3 linked regions of the Oryctolagus cuniculus genome follow. The protein of the gene in region 2 interacts with the protein of the main gene of each other region in a pairwise test. Links are inferred from orthologs where the notes say so. Each region holds a gene or a part of one and is shown on either strand. Other genes may lie near its edges.

What was found.
Region 1: the proteins of EXOC1 (region 2) and CCDC88A interact in a two-hybrid assay, tested with the Homo sapiens proteins (2 studies listed by BioGRID and IntAct). The link is inferred for Oryctolagus cuniculus from reciprocal best matches to the Homo sapiens genes EXOC1 and CCDC88A.
Region 3: the proteins of EXOC1 (region 2) and CEP295 interact in a two-hybrid assay, tested with the Homo sapiens proteins (2 studies listed by BioGRID and IntAct). The link is inferred for Oryctolagus cuniculus from reciprocal best matches to the Homo sapiens genes EXOC1 and CEP295.

The regions. Positions count from the first base shown.
Region 1 is NC_091433.1:147,277,511-147,283,231, forward strand, and holds part of CCDC88A (girdin), read left to right. Parts: intron 1-915; coding exon 916-1,080; intron 1,081-3,942; coding exon 3,943-4,104; intron 4,105-4,973; coding exon 4,974-5,251; intron 5,252-5,479; coding exon 5,480-5,623; intron 5,624-5,721. UniProt on the Homo sapiens protein: Bifunctional modulator of guanine nucleotide-binding proteins (G proteins). Acts as a non-receptor guanine nucleotide exchange factor which binds to and activates guanine nucleotide-binding protein G(i) alpha subunits.
Region 2 is NC_091439.1:108,633,204-108,638,924, forward strand, and holds part of EXOC1 (exocyst complex component 1), read right to left. Parts: intron 4,490-5,721; 5' UTR 4,480-4,489; coding exon 4,356-4,479; intron 1-4,355.
Region 3 is NC_091432.1:84,860,800-84,866,520, reverse strand, and holds part of CEP295 (centrosomal protein of 295 kDa), read right to left. Parts: coding exon 3,790-5,721; intron 2,220-3,789; coding exon 2,045-2,219; intron 1,541-2,044; coding exon 1,397-1,540; intron 1-1,396. UniProt on the Homo sapiens protein: Centriole-enriched microtubule-binding protein involved in centriole biogenesis.

The sequences.
Region 1 (5,721 bases), on a different chromosome or scaffold from region 2:
TGCAAAAGATGTATCATTCTTGGGTGTTTCTTCAAAGTTAATTAAGTTTTTAAAAAGTGAAATTAACTTTGAGATGAGATGACATTGAACAGCCCTTGTCTTGACTGTTGAGGTTTTTTTGTTTTGTCTTTCATGTAAATTGTTGAGCTCTTTACTTAGTATAGAGTTGATCTTCTGTGTATAAAGTTAATTGAAAATGGATCTTTGTGAAGAGTGAGACTGGGAATGGGAGAGGGAGGAGGAGGGGATTGAGAGTGGTTGGGAGGGTGGGTGTGGTGGGAAGAATCACTATATTCTTAAAGTTGTACTTATGAAATGCATGAAGTTTGTATTCCTTATATAAAATACTTTTGGGAGAAAAAAGATATATCCTTGGATTGCTCACTCCTTATAAGGTAAATTACAGTATTTGTGTATGGATCAAGCAGTATTTTTATCACTACAGTTCATTCTAGGCAGCACATTTTTCTTAAGAGGGAACACATATATAGTTATCACCTTAAGTTTAGGTATCTTCTTAAAACTAATTATTGACATGCCAGGTCTTTATTTGTTTTTTACATAGGAGTTTGTGAAATTTCTAAATTCATTATAGATAAGTTCTAAAAAGAGTTGTTAGTATTTAGCAACATATCTGTGTCCAGTTCATCTGTTCTTCAGAATAATTTTTCATCACAGAAAGTAGGATTTAAAATTACTAAATATAGTATAGAAGCATGGCACATAGGAAAGTTTATTTACATTTCTAGGAGGAAAGGATTTACATTTACATTTTTAAAAGCATAAATTGTAATTATAATCATGATCATCATACATAATTACTTATATTTTTTCAGTGTCTCATACTCACCAGATCAATGCAGAATAATTGTGAGAAATATTACTTTAATGATTTTTTTTCTCATTAAATTTTAGGTGAAAAAAAATTATGAAGCTCTAAAACAGAGACAAGATGAGGAGCAGATGGTACAGAGCTCTCCTCCATTATCCGGTGAAGATAATAAATGGGAGCGAGAAAGTCAGGAAACAACCAGGGAACTTCTCAAAGTTAAAGACAGGTTAATTGAAGTAGAAAGAAATGTAAGTAGTTTTAAATTTTTAGTAGGAATAAAGATTTTTAGAAATAAAGGATTGTTAGAAAGTTAGAAAATTTGTCTAATCTGATTTTGTAGTTTTGTCCATTTTATACTTTCTTCACTGAATTGTTTAATAGCAAGTGACTGAAGAACTAATAATTTTTGTATTTACCCTCAAATAAATCCATCAGAAAATATTGTCATCTCTATCTTGGAGGTACGACTGGTAATGATTGTATATTTGCCAGTATTGTATTTGCTGATAAAATACTTTTTCATTGTATATTTTTTTTCCTGCTCTTGAGATATCCTTTCTACTGTCAGCTATTTCTCCTATTCAATATAGACTATAGGAAACCCAAATTGAAGTGCTAAACTATAATAGTATTTCACATATATAATTGAAAAGTGGTTCAACCTCCTGGTGTCAAGATGGCATTTATAAATGTGTCAGTATTTAATATTATTCCAATGTAAATATTTTACCCTCTTATTTGAACAAAGGAATACAAGAGAACAGTACTACAACCCATCTTAAACAGCTCTGATTTTAATATGTGAATCAAATCATGATGTGCCCACATGTATATATAGCTTAAAAGTGAATGTTATCTTTGTCTTCTAATATAAAACCGATCTGTTGTGATAATCAGTGTTAACCTTTTGCATATAGGCCTTTTGCATATTAAAATGTTATTTCTTTTTCTTTTAAGATTTTATTTGAGAGGTAGAGTTACGGACAGTGGAAGGGAGAGACAGAGAGAAAGGTCTTCCGTCCGTTGGTTCACTCCCCAAATGGCCGCAATGGCTGGAGCTGCACCAATCCGAGGCCAGGAGCCGGGTGCCTCTGCCTGGTCTTCCGTGTGGGTGCAGGGCCCCAAGGACTTGGGCCATATTCTGCTGCTTTCCCAGGCTACAGCAGAGAGCTGGATTGGAAGAGGAGCAGCCGAGATTCGAACTGGTGCCCAAATGGGATGCCAGTGCCACAGACAGAGGATTAACCCAGTGCGCCAAGGCACCGGCCCCTTAAAATGTTATTTCTGTTATCTGGTGGATTTTTTTGTTGATGCCCTTTTAAAATTTTTATTTATTTTCATTATATTTGAAAGACAAAGATAGAAGAGAGAGCTTCTATCCACTGGTTCACTCCCTATATTCCCACAATAACCAGGACTGGGCTGAAGCCAGCAACCCAGAATTCAATTCAGATCCCCCATGTTGGTGGCAGGGACCCAGATATTTGAACCATCACTTGCTGCCTCCTAGGATGTATGTTAGTAAGAGGCTAGAATCAGGAGAAGAGCCAGAACTTGAACTTAGCACCCTGATAAGGGATGTAAGCATCTCAGACAGGGTCTTAACCACTGCACCAGATGCCCACCATTGTGGATAGTTTTTGATGCTAATTTTTTAATGAATTTTTAAAAAAGATTTATTTTGAAAGAGTTCAGAGAGAGAAGGAGAGACAGAGAGATATATCTTCCATCTGCTGGTTCACTTTCCAGATGGCCTCAATGGCTGTGGCTGAACCATTCAGGAGCCAGAAGCTTCTTCTGGGTTTCCCATGTGGGTGGCACAGGCCTAGGTAATTGGGTCAACATCCACTGCTTTCCCAGGCCATTAGGAGGGAGCTGGATTGGAAATGGAGCAGCCAGGATATGAACTGATGCCTATATGGAATGCCAGTGCCATAAGCAGCAGCTTTGCCAGCTGTGCCACAATGCCTACTTCATGAATTTTTATTTAGAAGTAATCCAGAATATATAATACCCATGACAAGCATTTTAATATATATCACTAAATAGAATGATCTGTGATTTGTATAATAATTCACCTGTTTGTAAAATTGAAATATGGCTATATATACTGGAAAAATTGAAATGGTACATTTCATTTGGAGATGCTCCAGAAGTCCTATAGTTATAAAGTTTTAATGAGTGTTTTATCCTGGGAAAAAAAGTAACTGAAGAAAATATGTACCATCTGTTAGGTTTGTTATGGACTAAATTTTTTAAACAGATGGTTAAGATTGTTTCTGTAAAACTGTTTCTCTTCCAAGTATTTGTGTTTGGAAAATGCTTTGTTTTGCCACTACCCCTGGGACTGCCACTCACTTCTATATACATTTGCCTTTAGGTAAATTAGGAAAGTTATACCCTCTTAGCTGAACATTTATTACTTTTGATGGTATTAAAACCATACAACTGACAGCCTCATTCTAGTTTCTTTGTTAAAATACTTATCTTTAGAATGGAATATTTTCAGGATATTACAAAGCAGACAGGACAGTTGCAGCAGTATTTTAGGATTTAGTATTATTTTTTTTCTTAGATTACATTTCTTTTTTATAACTTTTTTAAAGATTTATTTGAAATGTAGAGTTACAGAGAGGGAGAGACAGAGAGAGATCTGCCATCCTCTGGTTCACTCCTCAAATGGCTACAGTGGCCAAGGCTGGGCCAGGATGAAGCCAGGAGCCAGGTGCTTCTTCCAGTTCTCCCACAGGTGAAGGGGCTCAAGGACTTGAGCTGTCTTCTGCTGCTTTCCTAGGCATATTAGCAGGGGGCTGTATTGGAAATGGAGCAACTGGAACTTGAACCAATGTCCATATTGGATGCCGATGCTGCAGGTGGCAGCTTATTCCACTACACCACAACACTGGCACCTGATTAAATTTCTGTTTAAAATTTAGGATAGATAGAATGTTGTAATTTTTTTTTCTCTTTTAAGATTGTTGGGTGTGGTTTGGGAGGGTGGATTATAGTGGTAATAAATATTGGTTGTCTAAAATTCCAGTATGAATATCTGTTAGAATATCATTTAATGTTGCTTTTACCTTTAATACATGTATTTTTTTATTTTTAAGAATGCTACACTACAAGCAGAGAAGCAAGCATTGAAAACTCAACTGAAGCAACTTGAGACACAGAACAATAATTTGCAGGCTCAGATTCTTGCACTTCAGAGGCAGACAGTGTCATTACAAGAACAGAATACCACTCTGCAAACACAGAATGCCAAGCTTCAGGTTGTAATGTGATATTTTGTGGATATGCAGCCAAACTCTTGAATTATGCTATTGAAATAAGTAATGTTACACTTGGAAACAGTGTTTATTAGTGTGTGCATTTAGTAATTAGTTGAAGACATAAAATATTTTTGGGCCATTCCAACCTACCAAAAATTAGCTATTATTATATCAGAGCCTCAAAATATTAATTAAATAATCCTCTCGATAAATATAAATGCATAAAGATAATTTATATTTAAAGTCTTTGTATCCTTTCAACAGTTGATAATCAGCCACAAATATTTGCTTTATGGTACAGTTGCAGCATGTAATTCCTTATTTCATTTTTACAGCTTTCTTATCATTTAGCTATTAGAGAATAATACAACATGGGACTCGTCTTTAGACTTGCTCTTAGCTCAGAGGATCCATCTTTCACATAACACTGCCACAATCTTTTGAAATAAAAAAGTCAAGTTGGAGAAAGTGCAACTCTGAAATCTCTTAAAGAACCAAAAGAAGTTCCCTATCAGAATCTAAAAGTTTTCTTTCAATTATTCTTTTCCAAGTGATAAGTTTGACTTGGACTCTCAAGAAATTTTCTAAAGTAGTTTTTCAGTTCTGTGAGCTCTCAAGTTATAGAAGTGATAACCTAGCATTTCAAATTCTGTACTTTTTAATATGTTGAATACAAATGGTTGCTAATCAGTGGTTGCTAATAAGCTTTCTTTGAAATACATTCAACCCAAAGGATATAGGAGTATATATACTATATGTATCTGTATACCAATTAGAGTTTCTTTAAATTAAAATTGTAATTTTAATTTTTAAACAAGAGCAATATGAACTATTTTTCTTATATCTAGTAACAGTATACTTTCTTATAGGTTGAAAATTCTACCCTCAATTCCCAAAGTACTTCACTTATGAATCAGAATGCACAACTCCTAATCCAGCAGTCTTCTTTAGAAAATGAAAATGAATCTGTAATCAAAGAGCGAGAAGACCTCAAATCTCTCTATGATTCTCTGATCAAAGATCATGAAAAGCTGGAACTTCTTCATGAACGGCAAGCGTTAGAGTATGAATCGCTCATCTCTAAACATGGAACTCTTAAGTCTGCTCATAAAAATCTGGAGGTGGAACATAAAGACCTTGAAGACCGGTAATTTATTATATTTTGTTATGTTAATTTGAAAACAGTTTTCTCTGGCATTATAATAAATTTTGTATATAAGCCACATCCTAGAAATAATTTATGTAGGAAATTTATATAAATTTACATGTGTTTTATGTGATACTTACTAATAAATTTCTTGTTTCATTCCTTTCTGAAGTATTTTCTTTTGTGGAAAAACTATAAGCCAAATACCTAACCTTTTTTTTTTTCCAGTTACAACCAGCTATTAAAGCAGAAAGGACAGTTGGAAGATTTGGAAAAAGTGCTCAAAGTAGAACAGGAAAAAATGCTACTTGAAAACAAAAATCATGAAACAGTAGCTGCAGAATACAGAAAACTTTGTGGTGAAAATGATAGGTAATAAATGAATATTTTTATATTTTAGTTTTATATTATTCTTTATATCAGAAGTATATAGTATCCTTTTTAATTGAGAAAGAAAAAGCTCCCATCTT
Region 2 (5,721 bases):
TATTGCCTGCATTTGGGGAATGAAGCAGTAGGCAAGAGATTTGTCTCTGTCTTTCAAATAAAGAAAAAATTTCAAAATTTCTCTAGCAGTTGAATGGAAAATGGATTGGAATAATGCCAACACATTTCAAAACTAAGTCATTTTCCCTTAAAAAAAAAAAAATTCCCTAAAAAATGCGACTTACCAAAACTGACTCGAGTAGAAAAAATGGACAGTTCTATAACTATTACAGACATTGCATTGGTAAGTAAAAATCTTCCCTCTCTCACCAGAAAAACTAGTCCAACCCAGCTCTGCAGGTATCTTTTGCAAAACTTTCAAGAAATGAATAATTCCAAACACACAACTATTCCAGGGTACAGAGAATGATAGAATGTTCTTTGATTCACTTTATAACTGGTTATAAAGCTAAAAAAGATAATGTGATAAAGAAAATTAAAGGACCATGAATCTAGTAAATATGGATGCAAAATCACCAAATACTGTATTGGCAAACCAAAGGTACATACAAAAGGTAATACTTCATTTCATCTAAGATGTCCTTTCTTTTAAAAATCTCTGAAATCAGGCTGGCGCCGCGGCTCACTAGGCTAATCCTCCGCCTTGCGGCGCCGGCACACCGGGTTCTAGTCCTGGTCGGGGCGCCGGATTCTGTCGCGGATGCCCCTCTTCCAGGCCAGCTCTCTGCTCTGGCCCGGGAGTGCAGTGGAGGATGGCCCAAGTGCTTGGGCCCTGCACCCCATGGGAGACCAGGAGGAAGCACCTGGCTCCTTCCTTCGGATCAGCGCGGTGCACTGGCTGCAGCGCGCCGGCCGCAGCAGCCATTGGAGAGTGAACCAACGGCAAAGGAAGACCTTTCTCTCTGTCTCTCTCTCTCACTGTCTACTCTGCCTGTCAAAAAAAATAAATAAATAAAAAAATAAAAAAAGAATAAAAACAATACAAGAGAAAACTGAGAAACAGACAATACCCACACACATCAGTCTAAACACACACAGAGAATTGAAGATTTAAAAATGTGAAAGGCAAAATTATAAAATTTTTATTTATTTATTTATTTTGACAGGCAGAGTGGACAGTGAGAGAGAGAGACAGAGAGAAAGGTCTTCCTTTGCCGTTGGTTCACCCCCCAGTGGCCACAACGACCGGCGCGCTGCGGACGGCGCACCGAGCTGACCCGAAGTCAGGAGCCAGGTGCTTCTCCTGGTCTCCCATGGGGTGCAGGGCCCAAGCACTTGGGCCATCCTCCACTGCACTCCCTGGCCACAGCAGAGAGCTGGCCTGGAAGAGGGACAACCGGGACAGAATCCGGCGCCCCGACCAGGACTAGAACCTGGTGTGCCGGCGCTGCAGGTGGAGGATTAGCCTATTGAGCCGCGGTGCCAGCCATAAAATTTTTAGAACATAGGAGAATATTTTTAACTACTTAAAAGATATCTGTAAAAAGCAAAAAGAGAAAACTAGGAACTAGTATCTATTTATTAAAATTACATGTTTCACTAAAAGACATCATATACAAAATGAAAAGACCAAGAAAAACTGCAATGCACATAAACCAATAAAAGATGATTACCTACATGATATAAAGAATTTGTACAGCTCAGTAAAAACACAGTCAACATGACAGAAAAATGAGCAAAAGGTAAATTTCAGACAAGAAAACTAAATGCTTAATAAATTAATGAAAGGACATCCAATATCATTGTTAAAAATACATTTTTATTTTATTTTTAAAGATTTATTTATATATTTGAAAGTCAGAGTTACACAGAGAGAGAAGGAGAGGCAGAGGCAGAGAGAGAGAGGTCTTCCATCCACTGGTTCACTCCCCAATTGGCTGTAACTGCCAGAGCTGTGCTGATCCAAAGCCAGGAGCTTGCTCTGGGTCTCCCACATGTGTGCAGGGGCCCAAGGACTTTGGGCCATCCTCCACTGCTTTCCCAGGCCATAGCAGAGAGCTGGATCGGAAGTGGAGCAGCCAAGAGTTGAACCAGTGCCCATATGGGATGCCAGCACTACAGGTGGTGGCTTTACCCACTTCACCACAGCACCTGCCCCTACAATTTTAAATTACAATGAGATACTATTTCACCCCCTTCAAAGGGGCAATAATTAAGTAATTATCTAATAAAACCAAGTATTGACTGGGATGTAGAGAACCAAAAACACACACAGTTTGTGGGAGTGAAAACTAGAAAAGAGTCTGGCTTAGAGCAGCACTGATCATTCACGGATCTGCGACATGGAGAATTCCACAGCTAAGGCTCCACCCTAGAGAATTCCCGCCTGTAGCTGCTGGAAGATGGAGACAAACATGTTCACAGAAGTTCTGTCTGAACAGCAAAACCTGGGAACAAAGCTCATCGCCAGTGACCTGGGGTCCACTCAGACAGTAGACTCCTACATGGCAGTGACTATGAAAGAATTCCAGCTGAGTGAAAGAAGAAAAATAACACTTAAATACTTGAACATACGGGGCTGGCATTGTGGCACAGTGGAGTAGGCTGCCACCTGTGACACCAGCATCCCATTATGAGCACCGTGTAGTGTCCCAGCTACTCCACTCCCGATCCCAGCTCCCTGCTAATGTCCCTGGGAAAGCAGTGGAAGATGGTCCAAGTCCTTGGGCCCTGCCACCCCCATGGGAGACCAGGATGGAGTTTCAGGCTCCTGGCTTCAGCTGTTGTGGCCATTATGGAATGAACCAGCAGATGAGATCTCTCGCTCTCCATCTCTCTGTAACTCTGCTTTTCAAACAAATTTTAAAAAGAGAAGGAAGAGGGCAGCACTGTGGTGTAACAGGTTAAGCCTCCGCCTGTGATGATGCTGGCATCCCTTATGGGTGCCAGTTCGAGTCCCGGCTGCTTCACTTCCAATCCAGCTGCCTTCTAATATGCCTGGAAAAGCAGCAGAAGATGGCCCAAGTCCTTGGGCCCCTGCACCTACATGGGAGACTGGATGAAGCTCCTGGTTTCAGCTTGGCCCAGGGCTGACTGTTGTGGCCATTTGGGGAGCGAACCAATGAATGGATGCTCTATCTCTCCCTCCCTTTCTCTGTAAGTCTACTTTTCAAATAAAATAAAATAAATCTTTTTAAATTTATTTTTATTTATTTATTTTTTTGACAGGCAGAGTGGACAGTGAGAGAGACAGACAGAGAAAAAGGTCTTCCTTTGCCATTGGTTCACCCCCCAATGGCCACTGCGGCCAGCAGGCTGCAGCCGGCGCACGACGCTGATCCGAAGCCAGGAGCCAGGTGCTTCTCCTGGTCTCCCATGCGGGTGCAAGGCCCAAGCACCACTGCCTTCCTCCACTGCCTTCCCGGGCCACAGCAGAGAGCTGGACTGGAAGAGGAGCAACCAGGACAGAATCCGGCGCCCCAACCGAGACTAGAATCCAGGGTGCCGGTGCCGCAAGGCAGAGGATTAGCCTACTGAGCCGTGGCGCCGGCCTAAAATAAATCTTTTTTTTTTTTTTTTTTTTTTTTTTGACAGGCAGAGTGGACAGTGAGAGAGAGAGAGACAGAGAGAAAGGTCTTCCTTTGCCGTTGGTTCACCCTCCAATGGCCGCCGCGGCCGGCGCGCTGTGGCCGGCGCACTGCGCTGATCCGATGGCAGGAGCCAGGAGCCAGGTGCTTTTCCTGGTCTCCCATGGGGTGCAGGGCACAAGCACTTGGGCCATCCTCCACTGCACTCCCTGGCCACAGCAGAGGGCTGACCTGGAAGAGGGGCAACCGGGACAGAATCCGGCGCCCCGACCGGGACTACAACCCGGTGTGCCAGTGCCGCTAGGCAGAGGATTAGCCTAGTGAGCCGCGGCGCCGGCCCTAAAATAAATCTTAAAAAGATAAAAGACCATGAACAGAATGTCAAAATGTTAAGTGGGAAAGTCACAAATACATGTCCTATGATTCAACTTATAGTTTTAAAAGAATTCCAATCAAAATCTCCCCACAATCTGGAAGCAAAGCTCAAAGACATGCAAAAACTAACTACATTGACAAATATACATGGTAATATGACAAAGAAATGGTAAATCAAAATTCAGATGCCAGTTATTTCCTAATGGGGGAGAGAAAGGAATTGGACTCAGGAGGACACAAAGGAGACTTCACAGGTACAGACACAGCCTTCTTACGCTGAGGGCTGAGTACACAGTGTTCACTACAGTGAGTCTTTACACCTTACATATATGTTACAGAAATTCTTCTGTAGCTACTCAATATTTAACAAGACAATTAAAAATTAATTCATCAGCTCAACCATCGTTCCAATTATAGAGACAGGGAGAATATTTCATACAGGAAGAAATGTCCCTGAGGAATAAAAGAATGACAGACAAGTATCAACACCCACCTGTAGCACACAAAAAGCAGTTCTTTTTCTTTTTCCCTGCTTTGCAGACATTCACAATGCTCAGCAGACGTTCATCATTTGGTGTAAAGATGTCTCTTTGTAATGCATGCTTGATTGCTGTCATTTTCTCTTAGCTGAAAAAATTCAGAGCATATTTAGCCTATTCTAAAAAATCATCCCTTCTCATACTGTACCATTTATGATTAAAAATGATCTTATGTTTTGGTTCATTATCATAGAAAAAATTACTTAACACATCAATACACCTTCATGATAACAATATAAAGCCATAAGTTTAAAAATGAAATTAGACAACTAGTGTTATAAAACTCTAAAATGTTTGATCACCAAGCATCTTCTCTCAGAAGTAATCAACAAATATTTTCTCTGTTTGTCTCACACACACAGATTTAAAGAAAACAACCCATGCTCAATCTTTAACTATAGTTTGTTATGTAAAGAACTCTTATAACTGAGCCGGCGCCGTGGCTCAATAGGCTAATCCTCCACCTTGCGGCGCCGGCACACCGGGTTCTAGTCCCGGTTGGGGCGCCGGATTCTGTCCCGGTTGCCCCTCTTCCAGGCCAGCTCTCTGCTATGGCCAGGGAGTGCAGTGGAGGATGGCCCAGGTGCTTGGGCCCTGCACCCCATGGGAGACCAGGAAAAGCACCTGGCTCCTGGCTCCTGCCAGGATCAGCGCGGTGCGCCGGCTGCAGCGGCGGCCATTGGAGGGTGAACCAACGGCAAAGGAAGACCTTTCTCTCTCTGTCTCTCTCACTATCCACTCTGCCTGTCAAAAAAAAAAAAAAAAAAAAAAAAAAAAAAAAAAAAAAAAAAAGAACTCTTATAACTCAGCAATAAAAAGACAACCCAATTAAAAACTGAATAAAATAGACATTCCTCCAAAGCAGACATACAAATGGCCAGTAAGCATATGAAAAGATGTTCAAGGTCATCAGACACTAGGGAAATGTGAGTCAAAAATACCTACAGGGCAGGTGTTTGGGACAGTGTTTAAACCACTGGTCAGGACACTGGAGTACCTGGGTTTAAGGCCTGGCTCTGACTTTGACTCTGGCTTCCTGCCTGTGCAGACCTTGTGAGGCAGTGGTGATGGCTCAAGGAATTCGGTTCCTGCCATACACCTGGGAAACCTGGATGGTGTTCCTGGCTTCACCCCCCTGCATCCTCCTACCCCCAAGTCATTGCAGGGATTTGGAGAGTGAACCAGATGGGTGTATCCTTTCTGCCTGTCTCTCAAGATAAAGAAAGAGCGAGCACCTAGGGGCTGGCACGGTGGCATAGTGGGTAAAGCCACCGCCTGTAGTGCTGGCATCCCACGTGGGCGTCGGTTCAAGTCCCGGCT
Region 3 (5,721 bases), on a different chromosome or scaffold from region 2:
AGATCTGGTGGCTCATTGGGTTTGGTTAAGTATGGACAAGGGAAGGTCAAGGCTTGACATCTGGATAACATTCACTTAAAAAAGACAGTTGAAAGAGAAAAGTAGAGGAAAGGGAAAAAGTTATTTCTCTTTTAGACAAAATGACATTTTTGCAATCTCAGACATGATCGTGATTTACTAAATCTCTGATGATCAATTCCCAAACAGTTGTGGTTTGTCAAACACTGCAAAACAGAAAAGCTCCCAAAGCCTAGTAAAATAAAATCTTCACATGCTCCACTGACATCATGAGGAAGCAAGAAAGGGACTGTTTCTTTTTCTTTTATTTATCTGAAAGGCAGAATGACAGAAAAAAAGGGAGACAAAGAGATGTTCCATTTACTGGTTCACTCCCTAACTAGCCACAGACTGGGGTTGGACCAAACTGAAGCCAGGAGCTAGGAGCCAGGAACTCATCTGAGTCTTGTATGTGAGTGGCAATGGTTCAAGCATTTGATCACCAAGATCACTGTGCTGCTTTCCCAGGGCCATTAGCAGGGAGCTGGATGGGAAGCAGAGCACCCAGGACCCCAACTAGTGCTCCAACGTAAAATATCAGCATCAGTGGCAGCGGCTTAACCTGACATGCGCTGATACTGGCCACAAAGGAATTCATTCTTAGGCGTCACTGTGAATCTCTACCTTTCTTATTCTTTCAGTCAGAAACAAAAGTACAGTACCATATGACTCAAGACCAAAATAGACAATGTTTTCATTACACTTCTCTATACAAAAAGCGTATGTTTCCCTTTACAAAAGGATTTGTTTTGTTAAATTTTGATCAGGAAATTTATTTGGTAACTTTGAAATCTAAAAATAACTAAGAAATTCTAACAGGACCACTTAACAAAGTTTATAGGGAAGAATTTTTCTAGGTTCTCAGATGTAGAAATAATAGTGAAAAAATATACCTATTTTAATTGTACTTAAAGCCAGTATTTTTAGAATTTTTTAAATAAAAAATACAGGAAAACAGCACTGAAAGTATTAAAGCAAAAAGTCATTAAGAGAAAAAAAGAAAACAAAAACAAACTGGGTTACATCCTAAAATAGCAAGTTTAGAAGTAAACATCAAAAATAATAGGGAACAAGTGTGTCAGAATATGCTACATGGAAGAACTGCTGTATATAGTACATTGGTGTCATTCATACACGAAATAAAGACTAGTTACTTAAAGCCACATTTTCTTAAGCTCAAGTTTTAAATACTGTATATGTAAAACCAATATTTTCCTATTATAAGTATTCAAAGCCTATGTTTCATTAACAAAAATAAAATAAAATAAAATAAACCCAGCCAAAAAAAATCTAGAAGACTAGCAGACTATTAAAATATTTTATCAAGCCCTCTGTTTACCTGGTATAGAAGTTCTAACACTTGCTGGTGATTCTACTTCTTGTATAGCACTAAGTTCATGTTGGTTTACCTCCAATCCACATCTAACTTTTGCTACAGGTGGCTTTGAGGATCTTCTACCCAACTCTTTGTCCAAATGCTCACCTATCAAGTCAATGACAAAGTTAGGCAAACAAAACAAAACAAAACAAACACACCACAAACAAGCAAACAAAAAAACTGCAGAGGATGAGAGCAAATAATAATCAGAATAATTATAATAAATTGCAATATCAGGCTGGCACTGCGGCTCAATAGGCTAATCCTCCGCCTGCGGCACCGGCACATCGGGTTCTAGTCCCAGTCGGGGCGCCAGATTCTGTCCCGGTTGCCCCTCTTCCAGGCCAGCTCTCTGCTGTGGCCCGGGAGTGCAGTGGAGGATGGCCCAAGTGCTTGGGCCCTGCACCCCATGGGAGACCAGGAGAAGTACCCGGCTCCCAGCTTCAGATCAGCGCGGTGCGCCGGCCACAGCGTGCCGCGCGGTGGCCACTGGAGGGTGAACCAACGGTAAAGGAAGACCTTTCTCTCTCTCTCTCTCACTGTCCACTCTGCCAGTCAAAAAATAAAATAAAATAAAAAATAAAAAATAAATAAATTGCAATATCTTACCACTTTGCTTGGCACTAGTATGTTCTGAAAGCAGCTGATTATAATCAGAGTTGCTCCTATCTACACGACTATTTTCCTGATCATTGCTTGCAAGGTCTTGGATACGAGGAAGCCACTCTCCGAAGTGCCCCAACTTCTGCATTTTTAAGTCATTTTCAACTGTGGAATTACTTGTCTAAAAAAGTGGACAGATAAGGACAAATTGAGGGATCATGTGAAGAATTCATTAGATTTATATCTCCCTTTTTTTAATATCTTCCTTCTTAATTTAGAACCTCAACCAAATAGTTCTACCAACTGCACTATTACCATGCTACCCACAGCTAAAAGAAAAAATAAGATACTGAAAAAGTTATATTCCCATCAAAAAATGCAATAATTCATAACGCTAAACCTAAAATCTTGCCTCTCCTGTATCTTTCTTTCAATAAACAATCATACTCAAGGATCCCCCATTTTCATTTGCCATTGCTTTTCCTTCAAATGATCAATCTCAAAAACTCAACTTTTCTTGAACATCAAAGGATTCATAGAATATTGTTTTCAATAAAAAAAAGTAGGGGTTAGCACTGTGGAATAGTAGGTTAAGCCTCAACCTGCAGTACTGGCATCCCATATGGGTGCTGGTTCAAGTCTTGGCTGCTCCATTTCCTGCTAATGGTCTGGGAAAGCAGCGGAAGATGGCCCTAGTGCTTGGGCCCCTGCACCCACGTGAGAGACCAGGAAGAAGCTTCTGGCTTCTGAATGGCTCAGCTGTTGCGTCCATTTGGGGAGGGAACCAGTGGATGGAAGACCTCTCTGTCTGGAACTCTGCCTCTCAAACAAATAAGTAAATCTCTAAAGAAATAAATGAACAAAAAGCAGCTATTTAAAATAAAAAATGGATACACTCCTTTTTAGTAGAAAACACTTGTCTCCTGTGGAGAGAAATAATGAATGTCTGAGTGACTTTGGCAGAGTCTTTACAATAATTCAGATAGAAGCAGCCTGTCCAGCTCTCCATCATCCTAAAATAATGGCTGTTTCACAACAGGCAATAATAGTGTTACCTGAGGAAAAAAATGGGACTTGATTCATATTCACACATAAATGTCAACAGAATGTTATAGATAAAAAGCATAAGATCTACTACATACATTCTGCTAACCAATTACTTTTACAATTTTAATTTTACGGTATGTTTAAATCTCATACCAAATGTCCAAATAAAAGGCTACATTGTTTTACAAAGTTTCCACTAGAAATTCATTGGTTTCTGGGGACAGCCCTGGTACAATGGTTTGCAGTGCTGTGCAGCATCCATATGTGCACTGGTTGAAGTCCTGGCTGCTCCACTTCCAATCCTGCTCCCTAATACACCTGGGAAAGGAGCGGAAGATGGCCCAAGTGCTTGGACCCCTGAATCCATGTGGGAGACCAGGCAAAAGCTCCTGGCTCCTAGCTCTGGCCACTGCTGACACTTGGGGAGTGAACCAGTGAATCGAAGATGTCACTCTCTTTCTCTGTGTTAACTCTGCCTTTCAAATAAAAATATAAACCTCTTAAAAAATTAATTGGTTTCAAATAACCATTAAGCTCATAAACTTCATGTGAGGTCTATCAATTTAATTTCTACACTGCTTAAAAATTAAAACATATTTAAAATCAAACCACTTACTCTCATTAACTAAAAGCTCATAGGCCTAGGGTTAAAACTGAGTTGTTTCCGAACTTCCATTACTTCTTAGATATACCTTACAACATACCTGATTGTCTTTAAAGAAATCCTTCAAAGTCTCTTGATGTTTCTGGATCTGCTGCTGCAATGCTGTTTGTCTCTGTACCTGCAATTCTTCTTGGGCTTGCTGGCTACAATGCAGAACTTCTCTTTCGAAACCCAACTGCTTCTGAAGACCCAAGTTATCTTGTTGAGCTAAGACAGGCTGTGAAAAACTCAAAAGCCTATCTTCAAACCTTGGAAATACAGAATCACTTGGCAGAGCTGCATGTTCGTTTTTAGATGAATGCAATTCACATATACTTTTAGATTTAGCTTCAGCAAAAGGTAGTGGAATAAATGAATGCTCTGTTTCCTTGAAAAACGTAGGGATAGCATGCTCAGTAGATTCACTTTTGTTTAGCTTATTTACTTTGTTTAAAAGTAGTTCTTCTTGAGGTCTCTTATTAGAACACACTTCTCCAGGTAAGTCCAATTGTGCTGTCACATTACCTTGTTGATGAATAGGCTGTGAAAAACTCAAAAGCCTATCCTGTGATCTTGTGATTTCAGGATGACTTGAGGGAAGAGTACCATTACTTTCAGTTGGTAAAGATTTCTGGGTTCTATCAGAGCTGGCAAAAGGCAGTGCATCAAGGGGTAAGAAGGAAGAGGAACTAATCTGTTCAGATGATACCCTTTTCTCCAATTTACTTAATCTTTTAAAAAGTACTTCTTCTTGGACTTCCTGCCTAGACCGAATGGCTTTCCTCTGGATATCTAACTGCTGTTGAAGTGCCTTCAAATCATCATGGTGAGTTTGGATAAAATGCTCATTAGATACTTTTTCCTCATATTTACCTTGTCTAGGTAAAATAAATTCTTTTGAGGTATTTTCAATAGAAGGAAGGGAATTCGCCTGTGCATGCAAATGTTCCTGAAGTGAAATCAAATTATCTTGCTGAGGTAAAACACTATGTGATAAACCCAACAGCCTATCAGGCAATCTTGGCATTTCAGAATGGCTTGAAGAGATTGTATAATCACTGTTAGTTGAACAAGATTCTTGGGTTCTTTCAGATACAGTAAGAGGTAATGAAGTAAATGGAAGCTGTGCTACTTGGGGTAAGGAAGAGGTGGCAACTTGCTCAGGAGATAGTCTTCCCTTCCACTCACTCTCTCGATGTAAAAGTTGTTCTTCCTGAGCTTCCTGTCTGAGCTGAAAGATGGCTTCCCTCTGAGTAGCTAACTGTTCTTGAAGTGCATTCAAATTATCCTTCTGGGGCTGGATAAGTTGTGATATTCTCAAAAGCCTATCCTGCAGTTCTGGGATCTGAAACTGGCTTGATGGAATTTTATTATCACTTTCTGTTGAAAGAAATACCTGGGTTGCACCAGACTCAGAAGGCAGTAAGGGAGATGAAGCTTGTGCTAACTGGGGTATGAAGGAAGACAAGCCAGTTTCTTCAAATGTATTTCCTTGGATATTCTCCAGTGCACTTTGTTTATGTTGAGTTTCCTGTCCAGCACCAAGTATTACCCTCTGTATGTGTGACTGTTCGTGCAGTGCTGTCAAATCTTGCTGTGGCAGGCTATGCTGTGGCAAACTAAGAGATTTATCCTGGAATGTTGGGACTAGCAAATGACTAGAAGGACTTACATGCTCCTTCTCAGATAAATAAGGTTTTTCAATTCTCCTAGACTCAGCATTAGAATCTTGTGAAGGAAAAGAATGTCCAACAATCATTGGTGAGAATGAAGAAATGTGCCCAGACTTACTGTCCCTCAAATCCCTTTGTCTATGTAAAAGTAATTCCATTTGAGCTTCATGCCTAGCCTGAAGAGCATCCCTTTGTGCAGTCAGCTGTTCTTTGAGCAACTTCAAACTATCATGGAGAGGAAGGAACTGTTGTAGGAAACCTGAGGACTCCTCTTCAGATTTTGTGATTTCATACTGGCTTGAGAGAAAACCTTTCTCGCT